Arabidopsis thaliana: one gene and its partners. The protein of the gene in region 3 interacts with the protein of the main gene of each other region in a pairwise test. Each region holds a gene or a part of one and is shown on either strand. Other genes may lie near its edges.

Region 1 (7,975 bases), on a different chromosome or scaffold from region 3:
TAAGAGTTGTGGCTCGAAAACCAACCATTTGCAGATAAGCTTTCTCCGAGTGAGTGAGTTGAATGATCCAGTTACCCGCCCCCAAGTTATCAATCTTCCATGAATCTCTGTTTGCATCTCCTTCTAGTCATCTGAGCCCATCTCGCAAAGATCTCTGCTGCAGCAAACTTACCTGAGAACTTAGCTCTCTGTGCCAATTCCTCAAATATCTCCGGTTGTCCCCCTCTGTGGAAATCAGCTGCAAACTTGTTATAATCAATCAAAGGGGTTTTCATTCCTTTGTCAAGCATCTCCTCCAAGTATCTGCATGCCTCTCTCGACTTCCCTTCACTTATAAGCCCTCTGATCAAAACCGTGTAGGAGTTATCGTCAGGACAAATCCCTTTCTTGATCATCTCGTCCCAAACTGCTCTCCCCATCTCATAGTTTCTCGCCACGAAGTAAGATTTCATTATCATGTTGAACGTGTGTATCGATGGCTCAATTTCGTTCTGGATCATCTTGTTGTAGATCCTTGTGCCATGTTCCGGCATTTTCTGGTTCGCCATCAGTTTGATCAACGCATTATACGTTTTGCCATCCGGAGGGTGTCCCTTTTCTTGCATCTCCTTGAGCAGTTCGTAAACAGTATCCAGCTTCTTCTGAGTCCCAAACCCCGTGATCAGACACGTGTAAACCGCAGCATCAGGTTGCAACCCGGAATCAACCATGTCATCAAAGTACTCAATGGCAGTTTCCATGCTCGACTGTTTGCAGAAGTCCCGGATCATGATGGTATAGCTACGGACATTAGGGCAAGGTCCCTTGGATTTCATAACATGGAACAATTTGATCGCATCTGATTTTTTCATACTCCTCAACAACCCTTCAAGCATTACGTTGTGAGCTACAATGTCAGGTTTCAATCCGTGATCAATCATATCATTCCAGATTCTAGCTGCTTCTATCAAGTTCCTCACCCTGCACCAACCATTGAGTAGAACAGTGTAAGTCATCATATTAGGTGTAAACCTCTCCTTCAGCTTATCAAACAGAACCTGAGCTTCTTTTCCAAGCTTAGCCCTGCCAAGACTATCAAGCAAGCAATTAATGGTTTCAACACCAATCTTAAACTTGTACTTCTTCATCAACTCAAAGATACCAACAGCTTTCTTCCTCTCTTTCGCAGCAGCGAAAGCTTTCATCGCGATAGTGAATGTCTCCATCGTCAATAGACCTTTCGTACCCATCTCTTCGAGTACCGAAACCATCGTCTCGAACTGTCTAGTCTTTGCTAAAATACTCATCATGGAGTTATATGTTCTTGAAGCATGAGCAAATCCTTGTCTCTCTGCAGCCCAACAGAAGAACCTAAATGCAGGCTTCCTAGCATGTCGAAAACGTTCTAAAACCTCAACGATGAGATCATGTGATAAATCTAGTTTCATTTCATCAAGAACAGCTTCCATATTTCTATCTAACGCAAACAATTCATCAATCACTTTGCAGACTCTCTCTACTTCTTCCGGATTAGTACTTGATTCAACACAACTGACCCCAGTTTCTTCATCATTATCGCATTCAGATTCAACTTCTTCATCACATCCATCACTAACATTAGAACTACCACTAGAGAAACCTCTACACCCAAGACTCGCATCAAGCAGTTGTACAGAGGAGTGTGGCAATGGAATTTGACGGTAAGGATGATAAGTAGAAGAATGAATCATACGAGAGAAGAGAGCACCGGAAAATCGTACTTCCTCTTCTCCTCTCCCGCCGATTACGCGGCTTTGACTGGAAATGAATTCATCGGCATCGAATGAAGAAGAGCAAATGAGGAATCTTCTTAATGAAGTCTGAGTGGAGCTTCTTCTCCTAGAGAGATAGAGCCATGGAGCAGCAGCCATGGAAGCTCGACGGCGATTAGCAATGGCGAAGTCGGTGAAAAGCCACTGATTTACGGCGGAGAGCTCTTCACGTATTTGGGCCTTTGTTTGATTAGAAGCTTTGAGTGATAATAATTTTGACCCATTAAAGGCCCATTGATCTGGTCACATATAACCATTGGGTCCACCAGGAGCATTAAAGCTCAAACGCATAAAGAATTTTTATTTTTTAGTTGGAAGGTATCTGTATGCATCTTATCTTCGTTTTAGGGTCGTGATATTTTCTCAAGTTTTTCTTAGGGGACCAATTTATTTTTAGATTTATTTGATTCTATCTTACATTTCTCTTAGTTCACGTTGTCTTTGTATACGTGTTTATGGATATTACATAACTGAAAATCAAGATCAGTCAATCAGTGTAACATCAATCATCAATAACCCTGCGGGATGTATATAAAACTAAGGGATATATGAGGAAAATCAGATTCCAGATTAAGTTCATAAATATTGATTCACCTAAAATCTATAATAACATAGTAGTTCAGAAGCATGAAATAATTCTATAAAAAATCATGAATTATCTACATAAAAATATCGCATATTGTAGATAAGAGTCACCCCTGAAAGAAAAACGATAGTTTTCTGTATTTGGTTATCAATCAATCCTATGTGGGTTTATATCTTATCTAATGTAAAAATTACACAAAGGATAGTGTCTGCAAATATCTAAATGAAAACACTTAATTCCAAAATGAGAAATCAAGTGGGTTTTGCCTAGCTAATTGTATAAATAGTAACACAATCATAATCTCTTCTTCCATCAGGTCTTCTTCATAATATATTTCTTCTCTAATAATTGAAAGCAAAAGAAAACAGTTTTTTTTTTTAGAAAGGTAAAGAAATGGAGGAAACAAAGGAGAGAAAGATAGTAGTAGCAGTAGACGAAAGCGAAGAGAGCATGGAAGCTCTGTCATGGAGTCTTGACAATCTTTTTCCATATGGTTCCAATAATACACTCATCCTCCTCTACGTCAAGCCCCCTCTTCCCGTTTACTCTTCCCTCGATGCCGCAGGTTAGTCCTCGTTCTTTCACGATTCATATCTTTCCCTAATTATAATCTGTTCACTTTAGTTATAGATTTTTGTTTGGTCGATTTCCAGGGTTTATAGTGACAGGAGACCCGGTTGCAGCTTTGAAGAAGTATGAATACGAGCTCGTGGAATCGGTCATGGCTCGGTCTCGAACCGTGTACCAAGATTATGAGTCTGATGTAAGCTTATTTCTATCGATTTTTTATCACTTAATTTGCTGGATTATACTTGCTTAAAAAACTTGAGAAATTATGAGAAAGTGAATTTAATCAAGTAGTTATGAGTTAATCTGTTTATCATGAGCAATATTTAGTACAAAAAATATAACATATGATAAGCAAAATATGGTTGTTTTCAAAGAGAGTTGGCGAAATAAATGTAAATATAACCAAATTAATGTGCAGATTAATATAGAGAGACGAGTTGGAAGAGGAGATGCTAAGGAAGTTATATGCAACGCAGTTCAGAAACTTAGAGTTGATATGTTAGTAATGGGCACTCATGACTATGGCTTCTTCAAAAGGTAAGGTTTCAATCTCTTATAAGAAACAAAAATATTTTGGTTTAATGGTTATTTGATAATCATTTGATATATTTGATAGGGCTTTGCTAGGGAGTGTGAGCGAGTATTGCGCCAAACGAGTCAAGTGTCCTGTGGTTATCGTCAAGAAGCAAGCTCAAGATAATTAAGCTCATATGATTGCATTGTGTATATGTTTCGAAAGAACTGGTGTAACACTTGAATCAATCTTCGTATGCGATAATAAAATACATAACGGTTTAAACAAATTTAGCAGATATTTTTGCTTATATAAAACTAGCTGACAATGACATCAATCAACCAATTAAATTCAAATCTACATTCTCTACATACAATGCCAAATTAAAAACTAATGTAAACGCAAATTTCAATTTAACGTATAGAAGAATGTAATGAACCATATACCAAGTTTTGAATATTTGCAATTTTGTTGTTTGAACACTTAATTGTTGTTCGCTTCAAAGTTCAATAAAGGCCTCAAGGCCCAAAGTATATCTGTTACTCATCCAGTCGACACAGTCATACTTAAACGTCGCCGTTTCCGTGTTCGAAGCTTCGTGAAAATCTTCAATCTCGCGAGAGAGAAGAAGAAGAAGAAGAAGAAGAAGAAGCGATGTTCCTGGTGGATTGGTTCTATGGAGTTCTGGCAACTCTGGGACTATGGCAGAAAGAAGCGAAGATTCTGTTTCTAGGTCTCGACAACGCCGGCAAAACCACCTTGCTTCACATGTTAAAGGACGAGGTTCGTTTTCTTCGAGCCATATCAGTAATCGCTGTCTAGAATCTTGTTTCTTTTACTTAGCGCGAACGAATCAAAGTCTTAATCAGCGATAATCGTTTGATTTGGGTTTCAGAGACTGGTCCAGCATCAGCCGACACAGCATCCGACATCGGAAGAGCTTAGTATCGGCAAAATCAAGTTCAAAGCCTTCGATTTGGGAGGTCATCAGATTGCTCGTAGAGTCTGGAAGGACTATTACGCTAAGGTTTGATCTTCTTTCTTCTTTGGATTTTATTGTTAGGTCAATCAATTTAGCAAGTCTTTGGAAGGACTATTGCGCTCGTATAGTTGTATGTAGACTCTAAGCTGACTCTGTTATAGATTACAATCTTCCCTGTGCCCATATAAACAATAGTTAGATGATAGAGGTGAAGTGAAATCTTCAATGAAGTTTGTCATATAGCAATTCTCTTTTGAATGTTGCAGCATGAGGTCCTGTGATTACATTCTGCTGGTTATGTGTACCTAGTAAGCTCTTGCTGTGTACTACTCCTACTCTGTTCCTTAGCCACTGTGTTGCTCCGTTGGGTTATATAAGTTTGCAGATGATAGTTTGAAATGATTGAGCTATAGTAAAATCTTCAGATGATAGATATACATATACATCATATACTGTAGTTTAAAATGACATTGTGATTGGTATGTGGAGCCAGTGGAGGTTGAAAATTAGAAGATTGTATAGCTATAGACTACTCTTACTGTCAGTTTTAGAGTCATGAGGTCCCTTGTGATTTACATTCTCATAGCTGATGATTCCAGTGAATCAAGAGATTAATAGACTCCGGTGTTTCTATTAGCTACCCTCTTTGCATTCTATCTTCAAGTTTGTAACTTTATTATTGTCTCGTATTAGGTTGATGCAGTGGTATACCTAGTTGATGCATATGACAAAGAGAGGTTTGCAGAATCAAAGAAAGAGCTTGACGCTCTTCTCTCTGATGAATCCCTAGCAAATGTCCCTTTCCTCATCCTTGGAAACAAAATCGACATTCCGTACGCTGCATCAGAAGACGAGCTGCGTTATCATCTAGGCCTCACCAGTTTCACCACTGGGAAAGGTAAAGTGAATCTAGCAGGAACAAATGTTCGTCCTCTTGAGGTGTTCATGTGCAGCATTGTCAGAAAGATGGGTTACGGCGAAGGATTTAAATGGGTTTCTCAATATATCGACTAGATCAATCATATTTAAGTCTTATCTATCTATACTGTGTGATTGGTATCTGTACGTGTTATAACCTAATGTATAATTACGATTAATGTGTGTATACAACAAGATTTGACGGCTTTTAAATTATCAATTTTGTGTTTACAGACCAAAGTTGAATCCTATGAAAAGTGTGAACCCATTTGTCTGTGACTGTGTAACTGTGTGGGGCTTAAGAAATGGCTGTATCTTAGCTTTTTTATGAAAATTCGAAAGATGAACACTTTTACTTTAATAATGTAATGTAGAGAAAACCCCATGTGAATCGAGTTTGACAATTAACAATCACAATGTCCTACACTGAAAACCAATCAATTTGACACATAGATGTACCATAATGAGTGTACGTATATTGTTTTACATGTGTTATGTCTCTTTGTGAACTTATCATTATGTCTGTTTTTCTTCTTTCTAGGTATTGTGAAATGAACACAAACAGATCTATGGATAACCATGTATTTATTTTCATTAAAATATGTGAACAATAATACTCCAAAATAGTTCACAAAATAAGTAAAAAAATTTGCTTTTTAGCACCATCACAATGCGTCTTTGATCTCAGCCGCTTCCAAACGTTCAAGTCGCAGCGTAATAAGGCTAATAGATTAGATTTTGCGACTCAAGATTTTGCAGCTCAAGCATATATATGTCTACGGACTATGCAAATATGGATGTGTAAGAAAACTATTAGGTGCTCACTTTCTCTTTTTATAACTTTTTCAGAACATTTCTCCTTTGGACTGATTCTTCTCTACGTGGCCCAAAGTTAATATCAAAAGTTTTTTTTTAACGTATTATTTCTATCATTTGTTATTAATTTTTTCTCCTTTGGATTGATTCCTTGTTACAGTTTTTGCTCTTCTTTTTACTATGCTGTTTCTTTTTTATATTCGCCACTAGCTAGAGACTGGTTCTATGTCCCAGGACCCATGAAATACCAAGCACGAAAATGTGACCAAATGAATAATTTGATTTAAGTTTTTTGCTTGAATGAGAAAAGTTTTTTTTATATATAAAAAAATGTCAAAATATTAAAACTCATTCGATTGATTGCGTGGAGAAGAGAAAAATAAATTTAGAAGAAGTATTAACTTGGTTTTTGGGGTAAAGGGATGCACATGGATCCCTCATTCCCACGTGATATCTAAGCCAAGAACACGTGCCTCCCTCTGAGCTATCTGACTTTTATGTGATTGGTTTCAGTTTTTAGTTCAAAACCCAAAGCTTTTGGATCCAAAAGAGGTCTCTATCGTATGCATTTGAGCAAAACTAGATGATTGGTTTGATGCCCAACGCAATATTCTCTCTTTTTTACTCAATACTTCAAATTAAATAACGACGTTAATCATACAACTAGTATTATTAGTATTTGATAATAGATTCCTATCTTAAAACTTGCGCCAACTTTGACACTTATTTGGTTCTATATAAAACCCATGTCTCGGTGAAAGTCACCAGTCATAGACAATGCAATCATGTTGCAATGTCGAAACACCCAATAGTGAAAGTGTTATGTACAATATTTTTGGATGTCCACTTGTAGCTAGAAAGCTTAATATTTTATGATTTTTCAAATAATTTTTGGTTTCTGTTGGACTATATGCATTCCTATAACTTTGCAAGATACTATATAACTTATCAAAATTAAATTTAGAACTAAAACATACCATATGATAGAAGGGATTTGACGAAGTATACATATTGATGTGTATGTATATATGAAAATATGAAGGGTATTTACGTATAAATATGTATGTACATGTTGTGTGTATGATATATACGCCGTCATGGTGTGCCTCTTAAGATGCTAACATGTTTATAGAATGGGGACAGTTGCCTTTTAAGTAGACCCACTTTTAAACCAAATATTTAACTCAACACTAGTTAACTACAATTAACACGTAATCGTCGTCTTTGTAGAGTTTGTTAACTCAAGCCATCCTGGCATAGTTGTCTCGACCAATGGCACGGTGTGCACTATCATCAACTATTTAATGCTCGACTCTATCTTTTAATTTGTATTATACTAGCAGTTCTCATCTCTTATCTCTATTCTCAACTAGTTCAATTTCATACGAAAATTCAATCAAGAGTTCATATTTATATACAAATGAATAGAGTTTGGTTTGTAAGAATATAGAGAATCATTGATGTAAAAAAATGTTCATATAGCTTTGTAGAAATTCGTTTATTTATCATGGAAATATAGGATTTCAAGGGAAAACTGTATTTTTTACCCATTTTTTATTTATACAAGGGAGAATAGAAAATTGTAATACATAGTTAAAGATCGATATTATATTCTGAATGATTAACACCTATGTTGTAAATTGAAGCCAATACACATACATTGCCTATAAGTCCAAAAATGTGGAAGGAAGTTGTACCTATAATATAATCATTTTATGAGCTGCATTATTATTATTGCTGTTATATTCAGTTCCCAATCATAAAGGCTACCATCCCTTGCTATATAGTTTTTTTTTTTC
Region 2 (7,121 bases), on a different chromosome or scaffold from region 3:
CTCAAGTCACCCTCCAGCTACAACAACATTTGGCTAAAGGCTTTCATCATCATCTCGACGACGACCACGACGATGATTCTCCCTCCAGCGACATCACTGATGGAGGATCCCGGGAAGAAGAAACCCTCTCCATCTGTTGTAAGCACGAGGACGAATGTGAATCACGAGGAGCCTCACTCCTCAAGCAGTCCAAGCGTTTCTCGGCCAAGGAACATGTTAGAGGACATACGGCAAGTTCATCATCCTCTTTACCAAAGCTGCAGACTTGCTTTTAAAAAACACATCTGAGGTTTGATTGTTTAGTAACTACGTACTACTGAAACAACATATATATATATATATATATATTTAAAGGCTTATTAGATCCTATCAATCATCATTACTCATTCCTTAGTGTGTAATCTCGTCGTCCCGATGGATATTGAATTTGCTTCATTAATTGTTTCCATGACTAAGAAGACTGCGTGGTTGCTCCTCTATCTCGCAGGCCAATGTTGTCAAAGGCCTTAAACTCTACCAAGATGTCTTCACTCGACCTCAACTCTCCAAGCTTCTGGATTCTATTAATCAGCTCCGAGAGGCTGGTCGGAATCACCAACTTTCAGGTGATTTTATCCTTTGAATTTAATTCCGTCTTTTTTTCTTTCATAAACCTTACACACGAGAGTAAGTTTCTCTCATCTCAAATGCAGGGGAGACCTTCGTTCTGTTCAACAAGAACACCAAGGGAACCAAAAGAGAGCTTCTTCAGCTTGGAGTTCCTATTTTCGGCAACACCACGGATGAACACTCTGGTAATGACAACAAGGCAGGGACTTGGTGCTTCCGCTATTTCTAGACATATACATACCATCTCCTAATTTATAACCCGTCCTTGCAGTGGAACCTATCCCAACCCTTGTCCAAAGTGTTATCGACCATCTTCTTCAATGGCGTCTGATTCCTGAATACAAACGACCAAATGGCTGTGTGATCAACTTCTTCGATGAGGTACTTACTTACACTTCCATTTCCAGAATCCAGATCACCATCTCTCGATCCTTCCTTCCAGCTAAGGTTTGGGATTGTTTTCAGGACGAACACTCTCAACCATTTCAGAAACCTCCTCACGTGGATCAACCCATATCCACTCTTGTCTTGTCTGAATCAACCATGGTGTTTGGGCACAGACTCGGGGTCGATAACGATGGCAACTTCAGAGGCTCACTCACTCTCCCACTTAAGGAAGGGTAATGGAAACACTCCCCCGATGTTGATTGTATCCGAGTTTTCTTTCTAATCAGAAAATGAATCTCGCAGGTCGTTGCTGGTGATGAGGGGTAACAGTGCAGATATGGCTAGGCATGTAATGTGTCCCTCGCCCAACAAAAGAGTCGCAATCACCTTCTTCAAACTCAAACCGGACTCCGGTAAGGTCCAGCCGCCGCCCACCCTATGGAGACCAGGCACCCCTTCTCCTCTGGTGATGCTAGCTCCGGCGCCCAAGAGGCTAGACGCTGGCACTGGAGTTTTCTTGCCGTGGACACCGCCAGTGTCAAGAAAACCAGCCAAGCATCTCCCGCCGCGTGTCCAGAGGCTGCGTCTCTTGTCATCATCAAAGTCAGTGGCAGATAGTGAGTCATCGTCGCCAGAGATAGGAGTGAGTTGAGTTGGAAAGTGTCACACACGGAAGCTCTTTCTTTTTCCTTTACTTTTTTTTTTTAAAGCAGAGTCTTTTGGTTGTACACTTGAGAGTTTAGTGGGTTTTTCTTGTTTCTTCCTAACATTTTGCTTTCCTTTTATTTGGTCAATTTTATAGAACGAAGATTAGGGTATTATGCTACATCATCTACTGTTGTTACATGATTCACTATTTGTATTAAAAATCTTTAGGATATGCCCCACCACTTGCCATTAATTTCAAATATCTTCAGCTTCAATCAAGAAAAGAGGAAACTTGATTGATACAAATATTCCTGAAACTGCTTCTCAGTTAAAGTAAAAGAGGATGAAGAAGGAAGCAGAGAGATTCTGGTTTTCTTCTTCTTTTATTGGATAAAACGACACATAGCTTCCACTGGCTCAATTTCCCCATCTAACAAAAGCGTAGAATCAAAGCAAACCCGATATACCACTACTCATTTCTTCATATACACCAAAACCACTCCTCAAGCACAATAATCCTGGAGAGAAAAGAAAAATACCTTTCTGTTTCTGCAGTCTTCTTTTTGACAGAGAATGCACATAAGAGAGGATGATGACAGCATCAGCTCTCTGCGGCCTCGGGGCATTTGCCGTCGGCTGTTTCGATTTGTGGTGGCTAAACTATGGATATTAGGAGACAAAGAGATGAATGAAGATAAGCCTGAGAGGAACAAACTGATCAAGAAGGGATCAATGTCTGACATCACTATTCATTTCAAGCAATTAGAAGACTCGGAGGATAACAATTCCCCTGCCTCGTCAAGTCCAGAATCAGAGAGAGAGACAATGATTACACTAGTTAATGGTAGTAACGGCCCAAAGAAGAGGTTACAGGAGAACGGGGAAAAGAGCATGCTGGGTGAGCCCAGCCCTAAGCAACAAATCACTCAGCCTGAAGCAGGGAAACCACCACAGCCTCATAGACGCCTGGGGCCCCTACTAAATGATATAAATAAGAAATCAGATGCTTTTATCGAAAGTACACTCGAGAAGATGAGGAAAGGCTTAGCCTAGAACTAAACACATGAGCCTCCTTCTTCTCTCGCTTTCTCTGTCGAATAGAAGAACCAACAGACACTGGGATGCAAGAATTATCTATATACTCAATTCTTTTACTTTGTTTAAATTTACCAGCTGCATTCTTGATAACAAAACGTATATGTACTCCCACTTGTATTTTGAACAATAATTCATCTCAGAACTTTAAGATTTACAAGAAATATTCCTTAAGGGGCTAGTTCATATATCATTCTAGAGCAATGTTCACATTCATTTGCCTTAAACCCACGTACCTAACACGATAAGCTGAATGAAGTACCATTCTAAGGAAGAAAAGACAAAGAATCTTCATGCTCTAATCCCATCATGATTCACGAGTAGTCCCTACTCTGTTCTTTCCAGCCATCCAAGCTGAAGTAAGAGGCAAAAAGTGAAAAAAATAATCTGAGCAAGCACATATAACTATATAAGCGCCCCTCAATAATTACCATTCGACATACCTTCCAGGCATACATAGCAAAGAAGGCAACCGTGTCAGCAGACCAGACAAGAGCAAATGATTTCCAAAAGAAGGGAATAGCAACATTGAGCAAGGGGACGATGAGAAAGAGGTAGTTAAGAGCCTCTTTCTCTTTACTTGGACAGTCTCGTGCCCGAAGAGAAGGAATAGCTGGAAAGAAAGTAAAGGATTAGGGGCAAAAATGCAGCCTTGGAATAAATAAAGTTAGAAGAAAGTAGAGAAGGAGACATACTGAACATCCAAATGGACCACATGCCCATCAACCTCCATAAATCAGGTTCGCTGGAGGGAAAGAGGAGGTTGAAAGAAAGGACACCTCCGAGGAACATCGATGCATAGCCTTGAACCTCAAAAACTTTGTAAAGAGTAGTTCCAGGGAGAGCAGGGTTTTTACTGGCGGTGGAAGCTCTAGGGGCAAAGGTTGCAGCAGTCTTGTTAACAACCTGCTTGAATTGAAAAGTCATAAGCTTGAGCAACTCTTTCAACAGGTTCAAGCACTAGAGACCAATCTAACATGGTGCATTTTCATTTTCATGTCTTCCTATGGTTTCAACAGAAAAATCGTAAATGATATAGAAAAAAGGCGGACCTTTTTCAAGTCTTTACCGAGAGCAGAGGATGAGGAAGGGAGAGGAGATTCCGGCGGGTCGTCCTTGGGTTCTAATCCGTCAGAGGTGGCGAAAATACGGAAGGTGGATCTTCTTCTATGGCGAAAGCCATAAGTGAGAGCTATGGAAGAGGAGACCCCATGGGTGCTGCAGAGAGACCAACTCATTCTCTCCTCCAATAATCGCGATAAGGAAGAAGAAACTTGTTGGCTTTATTGAACCGGTCCAATTCTCAACCGAACTCCGGTATTCCAAATTAAAAGCCAGCAATCAATAATTGAATCTCGAGCCCACGACGGTTTGATTGGTTTAGCCATTTCTCGGCGCTAAATATAATTTATTAAAATGATGATTATTGCGAGAAGAAAAGATCTTTCTTTGATTTTTGCTTGTGGATTTGGATTTCCAGTTTCCAATTCTCTCAAATTTGCAATCCACCTTCAAATTCACACACATCTTCAACAGCTACCTTTTCGGGAACTTGCTAGAATTCGTGAGAATTGGAAATTTTTATCCTCCGTTTTAGTCTCCGGCGGGCTGATTTCGTTGGCCTTTTGGAAGAAATTGAGGTCGGAGCTAGAGAGGGGATCTATTGAATTCGATGAGAATTGGGATATGGTGATCGTTAAGACAAAAGTTTCCAATGGCGAGTTTTTTGGTGGGCTTCTTGTTGCCTTCGCTTCTTCTGGCAGGTTGGTTTCTTTCTCTATCTTCTTGCTTGCAATAATAATAATAAAAAAATCCTTACTTTGCTAGTCCTCTTCAATCAACAGAGTCCTCCTCTTTGTCTCATGGGATATCTTGAGCTTCACTCATTTACTCCTTAACATTGTACCTACTCTATTAAGGTTCCTTTATTAAGTTTTACTAGTTTAAACGACCCTGGTGTTTTTATGTCAAAACATTGGTATCATATCTCTTGTTATTGCTATCTCCATTCTCTACCACACCGTAGCTTGTACTTTTTTCGCTTGAGCTTCTATTTTCCTAATATATTTTTCTCTTCTCTCACAGCTGCACTTATTAACTGGAGTGTCATATCCTTTCTTGATTTGATAGCTTTCCTCCTCGTTCACTATATTGCACCTGAAATTGGTAAGCCTGTTTTCCCTCTAATCAAAAGAAATACCCCAATGTTTCTGCTGTAGTACATGTTTCTTGGAATCTTTGATTTGGGGTTTAGGTGTGAAAGGATTCATCTAGTTTATGCCCAACATCTACATTAGCCTGGAGAAACAGAAAAAAAAAAAAGAGAGTCTATTATTCTCAGTTTTCGTCGCTTTTTTCAGTTACGGTTGATTAGCTGATGTTTACTTTCTCAAACTTACTTTGGTTCTTGCTTTATTTTGCCAGGATACCGTTTTCAGAGGAGGCATTGGCTATTATGGCCCATTTTCATCTTTTCCTTTGCAGTATTTCTTGCTCAAGTGGTCTACCTTGTCATTTGGGCTGCTCTAGGTCAAGACTGGGATACACCAGATACTGGCTGGATGAGAGTTATTGGCTTTATGATGTAAGAGTACTCTCATCATTTCATTCATCTTCCTGCCTTACAAATATTTACTTGTTAGTTGATACTCTCGTCTTTGCTTCTGCAGATTAAAGTCTTGGAGAAACCCCACCGTTATGTATTTCCTGGCTTTACAACTACTAACATCATTGGTTGCTTTAGCTGACATATACAGTAGTAGATTCGGCTTCGCTAGATGGCGGGACACATGGTGGTCTCACTTCTCAGGAATTTTCGAACACCTAGGTTTGTAATTAATGTACTAGGCCCATACGGCTTGTCCAAATACTTACTGTAACGTTTTCTCATCATGTGTTCATCTGGTCTTGGTTTGACGTTATCTCCTCCTTTATTACTCAGGAAGTCATCTTAGGGTTGCCTCCTGCTTGTTGTTACCAGCAGTTCAATTGGCAGTGGGAATCTGCAATCCATCATGGGTTTCTTTGCCATTTTTTATTGGAAGCTGTGCCGGTCTTGTGGACTGGTCCTTGACAAGCAATGTTTCAGGACTTTTCAGGTGGATAGATTATTGATTATTACGCAAAGTTAGCACTTCCAAACCCTGCTTCTCTGAAATCTAGTCGTTTTTTGTCTGGTTAAGGTGGTGGAGAGTTCTTTATATCTACGCAGGATTCAACATTGTCCTGCTTTACCTCTATCAACTACCAATAAACTTTTCCGATATGATTCGTTGGATAGCAAGCTTTATAGGTCTATTCAGAATCTCCCTGGAAACTGAAGGCCCTGATATTTGTTCTGGTCTTTTCCTTGTGTTGTTCTACATCATGGTATGTCTTTTGTTTTTCGAGGATTAGTATTACTTGGTCTCACTCAAGTGTAAAATGATAAACTATATTACTGAACCATATAATTGATGAACTGTTTCTCAAAACAACTGTCAATATGTGGTGACCGTGTTTGGGGAGTTGGTTATGAACACCAACAGCCAGTGTAGTTTTTCCTTCAAGTGAACTGACTTACCCGCCTTAATCTGTTAACGAGCTACCACTATGTTATACCTGTAACAGTCTTGACATGCCTGTCGTTCTGCTATTGCAGCTATCCTATGTAAGGTCAGACCTCGAGGATATGGACTTTATCATGTCCACGAGTGAAAATAACTTGGCAGAGCGGCTTCTTCCTCCAAAATATTCATTTTTTATTCGAGAATCAAGGTATTCTATATAGATTTTTGTTTAGTTTCTTCCTACTGGGAGCTGTTGTGGTTTTAACATAGTATATCAGTTTTTCAAGGGAAATTTTAGTTTTTCTGTTTAATTTTTTCTTACTTATGTTAATTAATTTATGGTTGAATATGCTCAAAGAATTGTGTTCAAGGGTCGGCACTACCAAACGTGGAAGCCTAAACACTGGACAGTTTTATGAACACAAAGTTGTGATTGGTTTCTCTGCTAATAGAAACTATGGGGTTGGGTAAAGATTAGTACTCCCTTACAGAGTACAACTAGTTCACACATTCTAATGGATGTTCTCTTGGCTGGGCTGTACAAGATTAGCATTGTAGATGGATAATAGTTACACTCAACTTAATGTGTTAATTTTTTCCAAATTTTCAGGGCCGGTGTCAGGCACACCAATGTTTTACTGAGGGGAGCTGTGTTTAAGACTTTCAGTATTAATTTCTTCACATATGGTTTTCCGGTATATATTTGTATCCCTGGTATTAAAGTGTATGTGTCAGCTAAAGCAACATAATGTGTCAGAAACTCACACTCTTTTTATTTGCGTTCATGATTGCCAGGTCTCTCTATTTGCTCTTTCGTTCTGGAGTTTTCACTTT
Region 3 (8,470 bases):
AAATAAGAGCGAAAGCAAAGGTGATTGCAGGCATCAAGCTTACCAAAGCACACGCAACAGTTGCTGACGTGTAAGACAGACCAAGCAAATAGAAAAATTGCATCAAACTCGCCCTGCAAATTTAAACCCAAAACTAAGCTAGAATTAAAAAAAAAAAAAAAGCTTATGATGAATTTTATGCTACTTGAGAGAAAATAATTCCTATGTGGAAAGGAAATTGAAAATGGACGACAAAAGAACATAATCAAATATTATGTTGAGTTGAGAAGACAAACCCGAGCAATCCACTGATGAAATGATCGACCATTAGCCTAAACGTTATTTCCGGTATTATTTCCCTGTTAACAATAAGACGTAAATTTTAGGAAAAAATGTCAATAATTAAACTTCATATATTAGTAACAAATACTAGTTTATATTTATTTCATGTTAAAGTAGAGCATTCTCACAATATTCGCCAAAAAAGTAAATAACTTACTATTTCATCAAAAAAATCAAACCTTTCCAAAATATAGGCGATAGGAGCCAGAATGAAAGAGGAAATAGCAATTCGATAAGCACCAATGATCATATGGTTCACACCAACATCAAGAGCTTTCTTCACAAGTGCATTCACCGAACCCATTGCTACTTGTGATATTACCATTACTATTATCGGTGGCCATTTTGATTCTACTTTCACTACTCGCATATCCTCACCCATCCCTCTCTCGTCCTCTCTTTCTTTCTATGTCATTTGGTGTATGTGCGTTAAAAAGAATTGAAACCCAATGTGCTTTGAGTTTGGCAACCACAAACCTTCCTCTATATATATAAGAAACATGTGTGTATGGGTTCTCTAATTCTAATAGAAAAGACCCTGAGTTGAAGAATTGTTGTATTAACTTAGTTGTCTTTCTATCAAAAACATTTTTTACAAAAAAACTTAGTGGTGTCTACTCGAGTTCATTTTAAATAATATTAGAATCTTGTTCCGCATTATGTGTGAAAAGTAAAAAAAAATAATAAAATTTTTTTTTGTCAAAATATTTAAATAGTTTGAATGTTCCCACCCACACAACTAGCTAATTAATTTGTATATATTTTTTTGTTGTTCTGGTTAAGACTAATCTAAAAAATAAACTTTATTTTATATAAGATAAGTGTTTGTGAGGAGGGAACAAAGCACAAACCCGAGCATATTCTTATTGAGTAATGGATTAAATCGTTAGCTTTAAGTTTAAGAAGTTGTCGCAAATATAATTACTGCGGTAAAATATTTTTTATTTATTTTTCAGGTCAGTGTTGCGATATATACATGACGATTGCCTTTACTGTATTATTTTTACTTTTATATTTAGTAGAAATGCATGAGACACCGATACATTGGCTTTTATCACACGTTCCATGAGACACCGATACCTTAGCTTTCCATTCTATACGTTATATGAGACACCAATACATTGGCGTTATCACCCGTGTCATGCAAATGAAGTAAAACAGTGTCGGTATAATCTATACTTAGTGTAATCTAATGACACATAAACACTAAAGTATTATACTGAATTCCCCATCTACGATGACCACGTCATATTGAATTCTGATTCGATATGATGGGAAAAAGTTATCATAATTATATGAGATTTTTGCAACTCTCATTCAATAATTCTCCATTTTATTGTTCCCAATTTGGATTCGATCCCTTTTACGCTCTGTCCTTTCACTGGATCCATGCAGTACCTCGTTTTTGTTATTTATAATGCACATAATAATTGTTATACATTTCAATATAGAAGTTAATGAAAAAAATTATACTGTATTAGTATATAGTTGTTTCTCCCCAATATGGGTATCGAAATTTTGCCTTCCTTTATTTTGTCCGTCGAACTTTGTAGGGACAAAAAGCAGATGCTATTCTAGATTAAGGTAAGGCTTAGAAAAAATGGACGGGGCATTTTCACTCCAGTAGTGCATAATATATATACAGTAGTACTAATTACAATTGGTCTTTATTTTTTCTAGACCTTAAATTCTTACTGTTTTAGCAACAGGCTACAAACTCAAAACGCAACACATTTAAAATCAGCACGAAAATAATCCAAGAAACAGAGCTTTTGAAACTAAAAACAATATTACGAGGCTCTTTTAACAGATCTGTTGTGAAATGTTTTGATATATCATATATGCTTTATATTGGTTAGTTTTGAATATTATAACAAATCTGTTTTGTTATCTCTTTACGAAATTATAAATCTGCAAACGAAAAGTATGAATTATACAAACTGCTTGCACAATTTGAATCTGAATATTTATGACTGGTCTTTAACGTGAGTGTGCTTGCACAATTTAAATCTAAATATTTATGACTGGTCTTTACGGTAAATGTATTCAGTAGTAAATACTAATTTACGACAATGAAGCCATATGAATCTTTCTATGACAACAATATTATTTGATTAAATGGGCGACCTAGACTCGTTGATCTTCGTTGTTCATCCGAGAAGACAATGTAGTTATGTCTGCTTCCGTTTCTTTGTTCTTACCCCACAAGAACACGTAGAGACCTATTATTGTCCCTACTGATCCAATCACACTGTATAGCAAAAGTTACAAAATAAATTGTAATTAGTAATACGAGCATGAACCTAATACATTAACATCTATAAAGCTATACAAAAAATTTCATAGAGATGATCGAAGAGAGCACCTTCCGAGGTATAAAGGAGTGTGTAAGATAAGGAAATCGAATAGAGTAGCCGATATGAGAGAAACTGGCATAATTGCTGATGCGAAAACAGCTCCTAATCTGTTTATTCCCCATGTCGCTGCTACAGTCGACATTGCTTGTCCTATCACTCCCTATAATACGTGTATAGTAATAAGGTAATATTAGGTAAACCCCAAAATTTATTTAATTATTTACATATATACTACATTATAATTTATAAAAATGTTAAGATTTCTGATAATATAGTATTATAACTTACAGCATATATTATGACACCAATCACAAATCCATCGTCGATGATCCAATGTTTAAGGTCTCTACTCTTGTAAAGACTCAATAGAGCACATTGAAAAGCTGCGAAAATTGACATGAGACAAGTGCTTGAGAATTTGCAAGGATACTTGATGCTTAAAGTCCCTTGAAACAATATCCATAGAGATAGCAACACGATTCCTATGACTAAGTAGAGACATCCAAGAAGCCAATTCTTGGTGTTGTGATCGCTGTTGTTGTGAGGAAGAGCCTCTAGGTGAGAGTGAGAGTTTGATATATGAGGGCCTTTGTAAAATGTTAAGAACAAAGCTCCACTTATACATATTAGAGTTCCCATCACTTTTATCATTCCTGCTTGGGTCTTTAGATCTTTTATCTTCTCAGTTCTGAAAAGTAATATAACCTTTTAGATGATAAATTTGAGATAATTTATGAGTAAGGTTCTTTTGAGTATTTCTATATATAGAAGTATAATATGCTTGATGAAAAAACAAAAGAAATTATATGCACTGTATACATAACAAATACGAATAAATCCTGCATGAACCCATTGCATAGTAATAGTAAATACAGTACTTATTTTAATGATAAAGAAGTTAGATGGTTCCATAATTACCTCAAAATAAGAGCGAAAGCAAAGGTGATTGCAGGCATCAAGCTTACCAAAGCACACGCAACAGTTGCTGACGTGTAGGACAGACCAAGCAAATAGAAAAATTGCATCAAACTCGCCCTGCAAATTTAAACCCAAAACTAAGCTAAGATTAAAAACAATTTAGCTAGCTTATGAAGATTTTATGCTCACTTGAAAGAAAATCTTTCTTCTGTGGAAACAATCAATGTATAATGGAAAAGGAAAATGGAAAATGGACGACAAAAGAACATAAGAAATTGTGAGAAGACAAACCCGAGCAAACCACTGATGAAATGATCGACCATTAGCCTAAACGTTATTTTCGGTATTATTTTCCTGTTAACAATAAGACATAAACTTTAGGGGAAAGAAAATATCAATCTACTTCATATATTAGTAACATGTAGTGGTGTTTATTTACATGTTATAATAGAGCATTCTGACAATCTTCAATTGTAGTAAATGTTGTTAATTATGTAAATATGAAAAAACTATTTTGATATAATCAAATTTTTGAAAATTTTGCATAAGAAAAATATATAACTCAACTATTTTCATCAAAATATCAATAAACCTTTCCAAAAAATAGGCGATAGGAACCAGAATGAAAGAGGAAATAGCCATTCGATAAGCACCAATGATCATATGGTTCACACCAACATCAAGAGCTTTCTTCACAAGTGCATTCACCGAACCCATCGCTACTTGTGATGTCACCATAACTATCATCGGTGGCCATTTTGAGACTACTTTCACTCCTCGCATATCCTCACCCATCTCTCCCTCGTTCTCTCTTTCTTGAATTCTATGTGAGTTTGTGTGTTAGAAAGAGTTAAGACCCAAAGTACTTTGAGTTTGGCAACCACCCTTCCCATATTTATAACTTATAAGAAAGAGTACTGTGTTTGGGTTCTGTCATTTTAATAGAAAAAACCCCTGAATTATTGCTCTATTATATTAACTTAGTGGTCTTTCTATCAAAAATAAATAAATAAAAAACTTAGTGCTGTCAAGTTCAATTTAAATAATATTAGAATCTTGTTCCACATTATGTAAAATTATAAATTACAAAATAGTTCAAATATTTGAACAAGTTGAATGTTCCTACACACAACTAGCTTAATTTTATTTACTTTTCTGGTCTAAAAAAACTTTCTTTTTATATAGGATAAGCGTTTGTGAAGAACAAAGCACTACTACAAACCCGAGCATATTATTAACTAATGAAAGAACAAAATTAGTAGGATACTTAAGTTTAAGAAGTCGTCACAAATATAACTGCTCATGCGGTAACAATCTTTTTTTTTTCCGGTCAATATGTGTATATTTACTGTTATATTTATTTATTTATTATATAGTAGAAATGAGAACCGATACATTGGCTTTATCACACGTTTCATGAGGCGCCGATGAATTAGCTTTTCCATTTTATACGTTATATGAGTAAATGAGAAACCGATACATTGGCTTTATCATGCGTGTTATCTGCCGCGCACCTTATTAATTAGCAAAATGATTTTCATAAAAGAGAGTCGGAGAGATGATGTAACTGAGTTTAGTGAGAAAAAATAAGTCATGCAAACCCGAGCTAGTTGGTATATCTAAATCTATACTTCGTGTAATCTAATGACACTTAAACATTTGTAATCTAATGACACTTAAACACTTGCATGCCCGTCTCCGTCTGGTCGTATAGGTTCAAGTTTGGGTTCTTTACTTTCAATTGTAATTGGACTGACTCAAGGATTTGTTGAATTTGGTGCAAAATAGGAAAAAACACGAACTTTTCAACGAGATAAACTAATCATATGTAGTAAATAAGTACTATATGAGATTTTGCAACTCTCATTCAATAACTTTTTGCGTGCAAATTTGTTTTGTGCCCATTTTGAATTATATTCGATCCATTAATTATTCTCTTTTGTCTTTTCATTGGATCCATCTTGTTTTGCACTATCTCGTTTTTGTTAATTATAAATGCGTATAATTAGCTCTATATTTGAACTTTTAAAGTTGATGAAAAAATTATATTATCCCCATTTGGGTATATCGAACTCTTTCATTCCTTTAGTTTGTCCATATAACTTTGTAGGGACAAAAAGCAGATGCTATTTTTAGATTCAGTAAGTTATCTAGAAAAGGCTTAGAACATAATGGACGGGGCATTTTCTCTCCAGTAGTGCAGACATATATATTCCTTCTACTAATTAGATCAATTCACCAAATATAATAACAATTGAGTTAGTGGTTCTAATGATGTTAAATTTTTTTTATAAAAAAGTTGTCACAAAAGAAAAGTTAGTGGTTTTGACTTAGTTCTAGAATAAATTTACAAGATTGGTATATAATATATTCTATCTTTTCATATTAAATCATATCTAAAGTTTTTCACATAAATTAAGAAATAATAAAAAAAATATTTTGTTTATTTTATATATATAAATTGTTAAAATAAAACTAATTCAACTAGTAAAAAACATATTCTATTATATAAATGGTTACAATCAAATATATTTAAACTTTTGAAAACATCACTTGAAATAAGATAAACAAAATTCTCTGGATCATCATTTAAAACAAAACAGAGAAAGTATTCGATGAAATTAAAACAGTATAACCAACAGCTCAATAATTATTATACTTTTATAATTTTTTTTATTTTTTTTTGAAAAAGGGTTTTATATATGGTGAATTAATCTGATTATACTACATATAACTAAATTGGAAAGGGATAAGAATAAAAAAAAAGAAGTAGACGTCTCAAAACAAAGTTAAGCCTCCATGACGCACATGTAAAGCTTTCATCAATCATTTTAAATTTTGTTTTAGTTAAGAAGTAGCATGTCATTGAACCTTATTAATATCGCGTGTAAATACGGTATTTTGTTTTGTTTTCTGTATTTGCATATTGTCTATACGTAGTACAGTTTTGAAAATTCCATATACTTACATGCTCAGGTAAACAAGTTATACATCCACAAAAATAATTTCTGCAAAAAAGTATATTTACACATAATTTATTAGTCAACATGTTAACGTCTCAAAAGAGTTTCCAAAAACACAAAAAAATGATATTCTTTTGAATCGGGTACTAATTTTCATTTAAGATAATCAAGAACCCCCATGGTGTTCATTGTTTGTTATTACTTATTAGAGTGTTCTTCAACTTCAGCTAATTCATCTTTATCGTTGACTTTTCTACTTCTACAATTTCTTCTGCACTTGTACTCACAGTGATAGATATTAGATATACCATGATACAATTCTTTCATTTATTTGGTGTTTTTCACAAAGAAATGTATATATACCAATAATAATTACGATGGATACAGTAATCAATTATCACATCGAGTGTAGTATTTAAAGATTTTAGATTTTAAACAAACGTGTTAAAGAGAATGTTACAAATAGAAAGGTTGAAGATAGATTTTGCGTGCGACGTTTTATTATTAAGTAACCCCTCCTCGTTATACAACAGTAAATCTCATCTCTTGTGTAACAGATACTAAAAAATCAGGTTCATCAATAATCAAAAGAATGTTGTTCTTACCTCACATTGACACAACTGATGATAACTAGGGTTGTTAATACATCCGGTAACCATAAGAGGAGACCTCGAACTGATTTCTTTCGCTCCGATTCTCGTAACCGTACGGATATGAATCCCCGAAAAGGTGATCGGAAGTTGTCTTCCACGGATCAGAATCGTTGCTTTCCCAGCAAGAAACAGCAGCCCCACGATCTTGTTCATCTTCCTGACGTCTTTTGTTACGTAACACACAAGGAAAGTAACCTCCAAATATAACCTCACAGAGATCGGTCGCTTCTAATCCGTAACCAGACGGAACATACAAAGCTTTCACTTCTCCTTTATCTACGACTTCATATTCCTCATTTCCATAGCTTGAACTGTGATCTTTTTCTTCTTCTTTAGCTTCCTCATCCCCTTCTTCTTCTTCTTCATCATCATCATCACCATCATCTTCGTCCTCACTTTCTTCATCATAATCTTCGTCTTGTTCTTGTTCTTGCTCTTTAATGGTTTCTATTGGTTTGACTTCTTCTACCGGTTCAGCAAAAGACACACGTTTCTTGACAACATTCTTTTGACCACCATCATAAATTCCAAGAGGAACAGGAGCAATAATCTCAGGAGGAGAGGGAGCTTTAGCGTGAGGAGCGGTTGAACAAGGGTAACAAGTTTCCACCGATGGAGGAAGAGGTTTTCCATAGGTTGCAACAACATCGTAGCCACCACCGTACGGCGTGGGATCGTATTCATCGAATTCCGGCTCGTTGAAGTCAAGAGCAGAGGCTACAGAGCAATAGATACTAAACTGAGGAGGAGATTCGTAGGTTGTATAGAGATTCGGATCATAGAACAAGTGTTTAGGCTCAGACATGGTAGAAACAGAGTAAGCAACATATGCAGAGGTTGTCTCAGACTCGGATCCATTCCAGTTATAACAATTATAACTCATTGGATCATCATAACCAGAGTAAGCAACATATTCAGATTCAGATTCAGATTCATTCCAGTTGTAATAATTATAACTCATTGGTTCGAAACCAAGCTGCTGCTGCTGTTGATTGTAATGATAATGATTTTGATCGTAGAGATTATTAACCTGATTGTAATCGTAAGGACTCTGGTAATTCTCATAGAAGTTGGCCATTTGAGAGAGCTTGAAGGATGATCTTGAAAGTCTTTCTCTGCGGTTGATGAGAGAAAACGATTCAGCTGAGCAGTGATCTGTCGATTAAACTAATTTGGAATGTTTGGTTCCAAGTCCGTGAGAGAGTAGTGTATTATTTCCATGTGATGTGTTGATAAGGTAGGGACGACTGATGTAGAT
Region 4 (8,429 bases), on a different chromosome or scaffold from region 3:
TTGATAGATATGTTTAAGAAAATAAAAATTGATAGATATGATTGACCCATAAGCTCGATTAAAAATCATTAAATGTCTGGAAAGTGAGAAGTGATATCCTACCTCTACGCGTGTCCCGAGCTTGGTGGAATTTTCACGTGAATGTAATGCAACTGACTATATATTATAGTACTACAATAATCATACTAAACTATCATATTTTAGTGACTTGTGGTAAAATTTGGTTAACCATTATTAAGCCCCAACTCTAGCGTTTACCAAACCATTAGCGAATTTTAAGTTCTATACACGTACGTAATTACATTTTTTTTTTTTGTAAGCTAAATCACATGGATTTTATGAAGTACTCATGTATAGTTAGTTGACAATGACGAAAAATGTAATAAATAAACGAGCTTAAACTTTTACTGTCAGAATTAGAAGATTTTAGCTCTTTCAAACACTCTTTTTCCACATGAGTGTCTTGCAAAAAAGCACGATCATGTGGTATTATCTTTTTCTAAGTAAACTCTATTTCATCAGATTGGTTTTCTCTTAAAGAAAATGGCCATTTCTATCTTGAATGGATGAATTACTTTTGCCATTAGGAAAAAAACTTTTACTGACTTACACACATGTGTCTAAAACAATTAACACAAAACGAGTTAGGTTCTGTATGTTGACTATTCGTGCTCGTTCCTAAATTCCTAATCCTAACACGTAAACCTTAGAAATAGTATTTAACAAATACTATCGCTGATACATCACATGATAAATCATTAATTTGATCTTGTCCCCACATATATTTATTTTTTTCATTTATGATGAAGATCCTCAAATCATACTCTCAATATAATATATATTTACAGAAAATGGCCAAAAGATACTATATGAATACAAACCTTTATATATAATTAGGTGAGTATCTGCACTATGCGCGAGCTTTTTTCGGTATTTTTTTGTTCCTCATGATTTGTTTTTAGTTGTTATATTGAAATGCTATTAAAAAATAGTACCTTGTTATTGTGTCTATATTTTATTTTTAAATTTACTATATATCCATTTATTTTGTTGTTGCTAGATTACCTTGATCCTAAGTTCTTTACGTCCACATTGTTTTGCATTTCCATTTAGATTCTTAAGGTAATTTTTAATAATTAAAAAAAAAAAGAAGAAGAAGACAAAATGCAAATGAGATTGGAGTATCCGCTCCGAAATCCATGACCATAGTATGTGATAGTCTGGGCATTCGAATTTTGGATCGGATCAGATTAGATTAGGTCTGATAGAATCCGATTAGAATCCAAACAATTTTATGATTCTAATTTTTTTAGACTTAAATCGGTTTTTATTGATATTTTAGAATCCCAAGTGTATTCGAAACCAAAATATGTATGGTTTTAATTCTTATTTGGATTTGAATTATCCGATGAAATCCAAAATATCCGAATTATCCGATCAGAATTATCAAAATTATTTGAAATTTACTATATCAAATATGAAATTCTGAATTACACGATCCGAATTGAGCATAAAATTAATAATATGTAATGTATTATTTCGGATTGGTGGATATCCAATCGGTCCGAAACCGAACCAATCAGCTACGAATACTGAAAATTAACACACTCTGAGAGAGTTTACTGAACCCAGTAATCTGTTTAGTGTTTATACCCAAAGGAACTTTGTATTTAAATAGAAAATCATTTAACAAAAAAAACATATTCATCTCAAGAACAATTGACGTAAGTGTGATAATCCTTGTCTGGTTTTGCATTTTGTAACTAGTTTGGTTTTGCATTTTGTGTGATAATGAATCAACTCGAGAAATTCATGTACAAGTGTAACCACAAAACAAGTATTGTTTATGTTTTTATCACACTATCAAAACCATCTAATCAACAACTTCACTGCTAAACAACTTGAACTTATTAGCATCAAGAACAAGTTTCCTAATGGAGGAGAAAGCTCCCATGAGTCCTGCACAAGTGAACACAACCATTATCGTCATGTTTATCCAATACGTGAAGCTCCGTCTGGTTGGCTTATAGGTCATGTTGTATAGAAGCATTGGCAGCACGAAATCGAGTGGGATAAACCCAAACGCTCCTACCACCGCGTTTATATCCCCAAAGAACGGTAGCATCGCTGCCATGAACCCGCAAAACGCCATATATAGTGTTCTTAGTATCAAACGCGGCACAAGGTTGCGTTTTGAGAATATCCCTTTTGTTGTATCCGCTGATTTCTTCTCCATTATTTCATACGCAACTTGAGAATACACCTAACCAGTTACCAAAAAAAAGAAACATTTAGTCACTCGTCTCACAGCCAAGTAACATCGAATAACGATCACACTAGTTATAAACTTACAAGGCCAATGGCGAAAAGCTGAAGAAGGACAAAGATGACAGCTAAGCCAATCACCACGATAGGAGCCAGAGTCGGTCCTTCATCAGGCATTAAGTTCTTGAGGATATTAGAGCTCGAATTGTTACCAAAAACCCAATATCCCGAAATTGCAGCAGAGTAAAACGTGAAGAAGATCACACTATAACACAACAATAGTCCTTTCAACATCTTCCCTGTGGCTGGTGGAGCAAGAGTTGCCTGCATACATATAATCATCTCATAAATCTCAAACACATAACATACAATGTTTGTATTGAATAAATTGCAAACATTTCTCACCTGTATTTCGGGTAAGATTCCATTTCCGAAAATAGCAGCTATGATCGAAATTGATGTGAAGGCACTAAAAACTTTCCCTGAATCCGAATGCTCTAGAGAATACTCACGTTTAGGAGCGTTTTTCGACAAACCTGTAGAACCAAAACTGGGCAATGAATCTAAATTTTCGAACATTAGTAAGTTGTTGTTTCTTCGCTAACGTAAGAATCATTATACCTAGGTTGATACAAGCCCCAACGACGAGGAAAGTATATCCTAAGCTGAGAAGCAGAGACGCACAGTTAATGTGTCTAAGAGAGTGAAAACTTGGAAGCTGTGAGAGAACCATCATCACAACAGTCACCATAGCAATGAACTCGTAAAGCTTCAACGTTCCTTGCGGGAAAAGACTCGAATACATTATCTGTGTAGTAACACAAAAACAGAGGATGATCCGTACGGTTCTTATAGTACCTTGTTTAACAAGTAATCAAAATTTAGGTTTCTTTCTTACATCAAGACATTGACCTGCAAGTAGAATGGCGCCAATACCAATTCCAGTGTTGATAGCTGTTTGAATAAAGATCACTACATAAAACATCAATCCAGATCCTGCACCACATCACAATAACCGGCTCAAAATTCGAAATCGGCCCTTAAACCCAAAACTCAATAACCGGAAAGACCAGACTTTATGACGTAAACCGATCTATAAACCGAAATACACAGGCCTAACCTAGACCGGTACGGTAAACTAAGACACGTGTGATGATGGCGAATCTAACAAGAAGTCAAAGTATCCAAATCGAAACACGATCCAACCTTTACGGATTTATCCAAAAAAAGCAAATTAATAAATACAAAGAAGAGATTTTGAATGATACCAAGAACATCGGCGGCGAGTTCCCGGAAACGGATGTGACGGCGGCCGGATTTTTCACAGTGATCAAGAACCTTAGACATGAGGTAATAAGCGTAGAAAGTAACGAGTCCCATCGTCGTTAAACAAACAAACCCTAACCACCATCCTAATCCTCTAAACGCATATGGTAATGTCAATATCGTCGGACCAACAATCGCCGTCGTTAGATGAAATCCGGCGTGCCACCACTCGCCTGAGAATTAATTCTCAAATCAGTTAAAATTCCAAAATTGGAGATTGATATCATAAATATATGGGTTTAACCTTTTGATTGGAGGACGAAGAGAGCACCGGCGTCGGAATCGAGTCGGGTAACAGGAAACGGGTCGGGTCTGGGAGGATCCGTCATCGATGAATTTTAGTGTGAAAGAGAAGAAGATTCTACAAGTGAATGATTTATATATGGAATGATGATGATGGAGAGCACGGTGGAGAGGTGGGCGCATGATAGCTGGTGATAGTTAATGTTTGCTATAATGTTAAATTCCGTTGCTTCTTTAAAGAAACAACCTGTCATAGTGAGAAAAGGAGACATATTTTGCATTTTCCTCTTTATTCGGGATGTGATAAAATTTTGCTTTTTTCAGATTCCTATCATTAAATTAAAAAATTAGTTTTATGATTCCTATTTTCATACATTTCCACTTGTACTTTACTTGTGCTTCTTTGCATGTTTCAGATTTTTTTTTGTAAAAATAAAAATATTAAATTGACAAAACAAGGTTTTGAAATTACTTTTTGATATTTTATTTAGAAATTTTCAGTAATGTATTGTTTGTAAATAAGGAAACAAATTTTAAGAGTTTTTTTTTTGTTGGAATAATCCAATATGATTTATATGAATATCTATCACATAATTTTAGATTTAATGTATCTTGGTGAATTAATCAGATAATAAAGTAATTGGGAATTATAACGTGTTAGACTCTTTTCAAATTTTAAGGTCAAAGTATAATCACTGTCTGATTTTAGAGGAGAAAGTAGTGTGTTTCCATAAACTCATAAAAGTGAATAGAGTTTCTATTTAAAATTTAATAATTTAAGATATTGCCAAATTGTACTTAATTTTCAATTAACTTCGATTTAGGAAATATCAACTAGTTATGGAATTTTTTCTCAAATATTTGATTGATCTAACATCACCAAACCTTACTGGCTGACTTATTTTGTGTATCATTCACATGGCTGACTTTTTCGGTTGTGAAAAACACTTGAAAAAAAAGTGGTTGCTATTAAAGAATAAACATTTCAAACATTTCAAACTAGTTCACATTAGAAATTCAAGGCGAGATATAACGACTGCTAATGCAAAAAAAAAAAACCCAATAAAATAAGAAATGAATGAGAGAACGAAACTCTGTAAAGCGATGTGTATAATTTTGTTATGAAAGAGCAAAGATGATACTATAACAAATTCCAAACAAGCAAAAGCACTATACCAACAGTAGCATTTAATCGTTCTATACAATCCGACGCCCAAAGAAAAAAAAATATCAACTCCATTTGTGTGAGCCCCTTTATTCCCTGACCTCCCATAAAAACCACCACCAACTTTGCCCACAATAAACCAAAAATTTTGACTTACAAAATACAACAAAAGTTAACAAACATATAAAAGTGCAACAAAATCGAACACAAGTACACCAAAAGTCCCCAACCAAAAATACCTCTCCACCAGCTTCTTGATTGACCAGAGTCCAAAACCTAATAAACACATATATGTTGTTTCATTGTTTGCATTCATGTGAGGTGGAAACTAGGCTTGGGAAAGATAAACAACGTACCATGGCACTGAGTCCTTAAGTTCGCTGCGACACTCTTCTTTGGCCTCGAGCCACAACGGTCTTAGACAAAACCTCCTCAAGATATTCACAACGACTTCTATGGTGATCGATCCAAACACATAATTGCCTTATCGCTTCTCTTTTCTCTTCTCCAAGTCCCATCAAAGTCTCTTTCATCATCTCCTTCTCTTTTTCATCTTCTCTTACTTTTCCTCCAAGCTTTTTTATTTCTTCATCTTTCTTCTCTATCTCTTTATTCATCTTCTCCTTCTCGTGATTTCTCTCTATCACCCAATTCGTCGCAGTCCACAGTATTTTTGATGCCTCCATTACAGTTTTCTCGTATCTCCCCTGTTTCTCCGTGAGTTTTTCTGACATGGATTGAAACCCATCTACTGTTATGTTCACTTTATCTGCTATCTCTTTGATCATACCTCGATAAGTCTCATGTGTCATGGTGAGATTCTTCTCAAGCAATGCTTGCTCCTCTAAGTGCTTAGCCTCTTCTTTCCTGAAAGCTTCTTCTTTCTCTGTTAGTACCTGTTCGGTTACTCTCAGTTTCTGGTTCGACAAGCGTAGCTTAACCTCGATGTTACTGATCTTCTCCATGAGAGTTTCGATCTCGTCTCCTTTCATTTCCAGCTCGTTACGTAAACTCTCCATCGTCTCTTCATGAACCCCAATTGTAGAATCTCTGGATGTCACTTCCTTACCCCTCTCCTCCAACAATCTTTGAGCTTCTTTGTAATCCACAGTTACCTTATTTAGTGTTGCTTCAGTTTCTTTAAATAGTTCGTTTATCTGCTTGTGTTCCTCTTCCAGCGTATTGTAAGCAGCTTCTTGCTCTACCAATGCTTTCTGGACATCGGTGATCTGATTCGACAATTCTGATTTCTCTTGCTTCTCTCTCTCAAGCTCTGCTTCGGTTTCGCTCTTCTGCACCTGTAGAGAATCAAGCTCATTCTTCAGATTGTTGATCAGTTCTGTTAAGGCCATTATTTCAGAAGACGCTACGTTGATCTTATCGTGCATTTGAACATTCTCTTCTTTCTTAGTTCTCAGCTCCTCATCAAGCTCACTTCTCTGTTTCCCTAGAGTCTCTAACTCAAGTTCACGACCCTTAATCTTCTCAGATAAACCATTTATTTCTTCTAGAATACTCTCGTGAACTTTAACCTTGTTTATGATCTCCTCTTTTAGATTTGTAATCTGACTCAGATATTCAGATATCTCCTCGGACTTCTTTTCAAGTTGGATCTCGAGTTCTGCTCTCTGGCTATCAAGTGAGGCCACTTGCTGTCTCAGACCATTGACCTCATCATCCAAACGTTTAATCTTCACTGAGGCTTCCTCGCTTTTGCACACCATTTGTTTCTCCACCTCTTCTTTTTGAACAGACATTGAATCTAATTCTGCTCGTAGGCCATCGATCTCAGCTGTCAAAGTCTCAATTGAAGACGATGATTGCTTATCGTTATCCTCAAGTTTTTGAGTTAAAGCTGAGAGTTCAGTTCCTCTCTCCTCCATTGTCTTCTCAAGTTCTGAGATTCTAGCAACCATTTCTCTGTTTTGCGCTTCCAACTGCTCAACTACGGTGGTCTTGCTTGCAATCTCTGTCTCAAGATCTATTATACGGGCACGAACTGACTCTAGTTCCAGCTCCAGTGTCGCTACTGTTGCTTCTAGTTCTTTTATTTGCACCTGTGATTTGCTGTCCTTCTCTGTCAGAAGGAATAGTTTGCTTTCTTTCTCAGCGAGCTGCTCTTTCAGTTTGCTCGAATCAGCTGTGAGTTCCTGTACCATGATCTGTGTCCGTTCAAGCTCATCTGAAGTTTCTGAGATTTTCGTGGACATAGTTCTGCTTTCTTCTTCTGCAGCCTTCAGACTTTCGCTCAATTCCAAAACCCTGTGTTCAGATGATTCCAGTTGCGCTTCTAAACCTCTTAACTGAGTGGATAATTCTCTCTGATGAGTCTCATGGATATCCCTCAAGCTAAAAAGTTCATTGTCTTTCTCAGCGTGGCTCCCTTTTAATCGTTCAGACTCAGAGCTGAGTTCTTGTATGGTGCTTTCCGCCCGCTTGATCTTGATCGACATTTCTGAAATTTGCTGAGATAAAATTTTCTTCTCTTCCTCTGAACTGTTCAGGTTCTGGTTCAATTCTTTAACCTGTTCCTCTGCTGATTCCACCCGTGCTTCTAATTCTTTCACCTGACTTGAGGAATCTCTCTTATGGGCCTCGTGTACCTCCACAAAACTAGAAAGCTCATTCTCTTTTTGTGTGAGTGTATCTTTAGACTCTGCCAATTCAGTCACAAGTTCCTGTACCTTGCTTTGGGCCTGTTTGAGCTCATCCGTAATTTCCAAGATCATTGAGGACAGGGACTTCTTTTCTTCCTCTGCAGCATTCAGACTCGCACTCAGATCTACGACCCGTTGTTCTAATAATTTCAGTTGAGTTTCTAATTCACTCAAACGAGTGGATGATTCTCTTTGATGAGTCTCGTGAATGTCCCTCAAACCAGTAAGTTCCCTCTCTTTCACACCGTGGCTCTCTTTCAACTGTTCAGACTCAGACATGTGTTCTTGTATGGTTTTTTGTGCTTCTTGAATCTCATTAGAGATATCTAAGATTCTCTGAGATAACATTTTTTTCTCTTCTTCTGCATTGTCCAGACTCTGCTTCATATCTGCAACCTGTTGATCTGCTGACTTCACCAAACTAGAAAGCTCACTCTCTTTCTCTTTGTGTCGGTCTTTCAACTCTCCCAATTCATCCATGAGTTCTTTTATCGTGTTCTGAGCCTGTTCAAGCTTGTCCATAATTTCCAAATTTTTCGAGGAGATAGCTTTGTTTTCTTCCTCTGCATCCTTCAGATCCACAGTCAAATCTGAGATCCGCTGTTCTGAGGATTCCAGTTGAGCTTCTAATTCACTCACGCGAGTGGATGATTCTCTTTGATGAGTCTCGTGGATGTCCCTCAAGCTGAAAAGATCTCTATCCTTTACACTGTGGCTCTCTTTCAACTGCCCAGACTCAGACACGAGTTCTTGTATGGTGTTTTGTGCCTCTT

What was found.
Region 1: the proteins of UMAMIT27 (region 3) and AT3G62560 interact in a protein complementation assay, tested with the Arabidopsis thaliana proteins (one large-scale study listed by BioGRID).
Region 2: the proteins of UMAMIT27 (region 3) and RPH1 interact in a protein complementation assay, tested with the Arabidopsis thaliana proteins (one large-scale study listed by BioGRID).
Region 4: the proteins of UMAMIT27 (region 3) and AT5G41800 interact in a protein complementation assay, tested with the Arabidopsis thaliana proteins (one large-scale study listed by BioGRID).

Annotation. Positions count from the first base shown.
Region 1 is NC_003074.8:23,133,425-23,141,399, forward strand, and holds AT3G62560 (Ras-related small GTP-binding family protein), read left to right. Parts: upstream 1-3,861; 5' UTR 3,862-4,114; coding exon 4,115-4,243; intron 4,244-4,355; coding exon 4,356-4,487; intron 4,488-5,135; coding exon 5,136-5,456; 3' UTR 5,457-5,721; downstream 5,722-7,975. Other genes in the region: AT3G62540 (Pentatricopeptide repeat (PPR) superfamily protein), read right to left, coding at 90-1,889; AT3G62550 (Adenine nucleotide alpha hydrolases-like superfamily protein), read left to right, coding at 2,770-2,941, 3,030-3,139, 3,365-3,483, 3,563-3,650.
Region 2 is NC_003071.7:19,659,719-19,666,839, reverse strand, and holds RPH1 (resistance to phytophthora 1), read right to left. Parts: upstream 4,024-7,121; 5' UTR 3,978-4,023; coding exon 3,792-3,977; intron 3,646-3,791; coding exon 3,435-3,645; intron 3,353-3,434; coding exon 3,171-3,352; intron 3,094-3,170; coding exon 3,067-3,093; 3' UTR 2,938-3,066; downstream 1-2,937. Other genes in the region: AT2G48080 (oxidoreductase, 2OG-Fe(II) oxygenase family protein), read left to right, coding at 1-230, 488-605, 693-794, 881-990, 1,075-1,229, 1,300-1,648; AT2G48075 (uncharacterized protein), read left to right, coding at 2,218-2,697; AT2G48060 (piezo-type mechanosensitive ion channel component), read left to right, coding at 4,454-4,502, 4,825-4,905, 5,164-5,323, 5,409-5,566, 5,681-5,837, 5,922-6,108, 6,380-6,495, 6,898-6,982 and 1 more. UniProt on the Arabidopsis thaliana protein: Plays a positive role in the immune response to the oomycetes P.brassicae, including induced oxidative burst (e.g. H(2)O(2)) and enhanced expression of defense-related genes.
Region 3 is NC_003070.9:3,849,238-3,857,707, reverse strand, and holds UMAMIT27 (nodulin MtN21 /EamA-like transporter family protein), read right to left. Parts: upstream 4,525-8,470; 5' UTR 4,392-4,524; coding exon 4,189-4,391; intron 3,951-4,188; coding exon 3,888-3,950; exon of another isoform or gene 3,714-3,887; coding exon 3,597-3,713; intron 3,367-3,596; coding exon 2,967-3,366; intron 2,839-2,966; coding exon 2,687-2,838; coding exon of another isoform or gene 2,662-2,686; exon of another isoform or gene 2,573-2,661; coding exon 2,449-2,572; 3' UTR 2,201-2,448; downstream 1-2,200. Other genes in the region: UMAMIT26 (nodulin MtN21 /EamA-like transporter family protein), read right to left, coding at 1-113, 276-338, 501-703; AT1G11440 (uncharacterized protein), read right to left, coding at 7,199-8,290.
Region 4 is NC_003076.8:16,729,333-16,737,761, reverse strand, and holds AT5G41800 (Transmembrane amino acid transporter family protein), read right to left. Parts: upstream 4,100-8,429; 5' UTR 3,921-4,099; coding exon 3,836-3,920; intron 3,765-3,835; coding exon 3,534-3,764; intron 3,262-3,533; coding exon 3,164-3,261; intron 3,074-3,163; coding exon 2,887-3,073; intron 2,802-2,886; coding exon 2,671-2,801; intron 2,590-2,670; coding exon 2,353-2,589; intron 2,264-2,352; coding exon 1,874-2,263; 3' UTR 1,669-1,873; downstream 1-1,668. Other genes in the region: CIP1 (COP1-interactive protein 1), read right to left, coding at 5,371-8,429.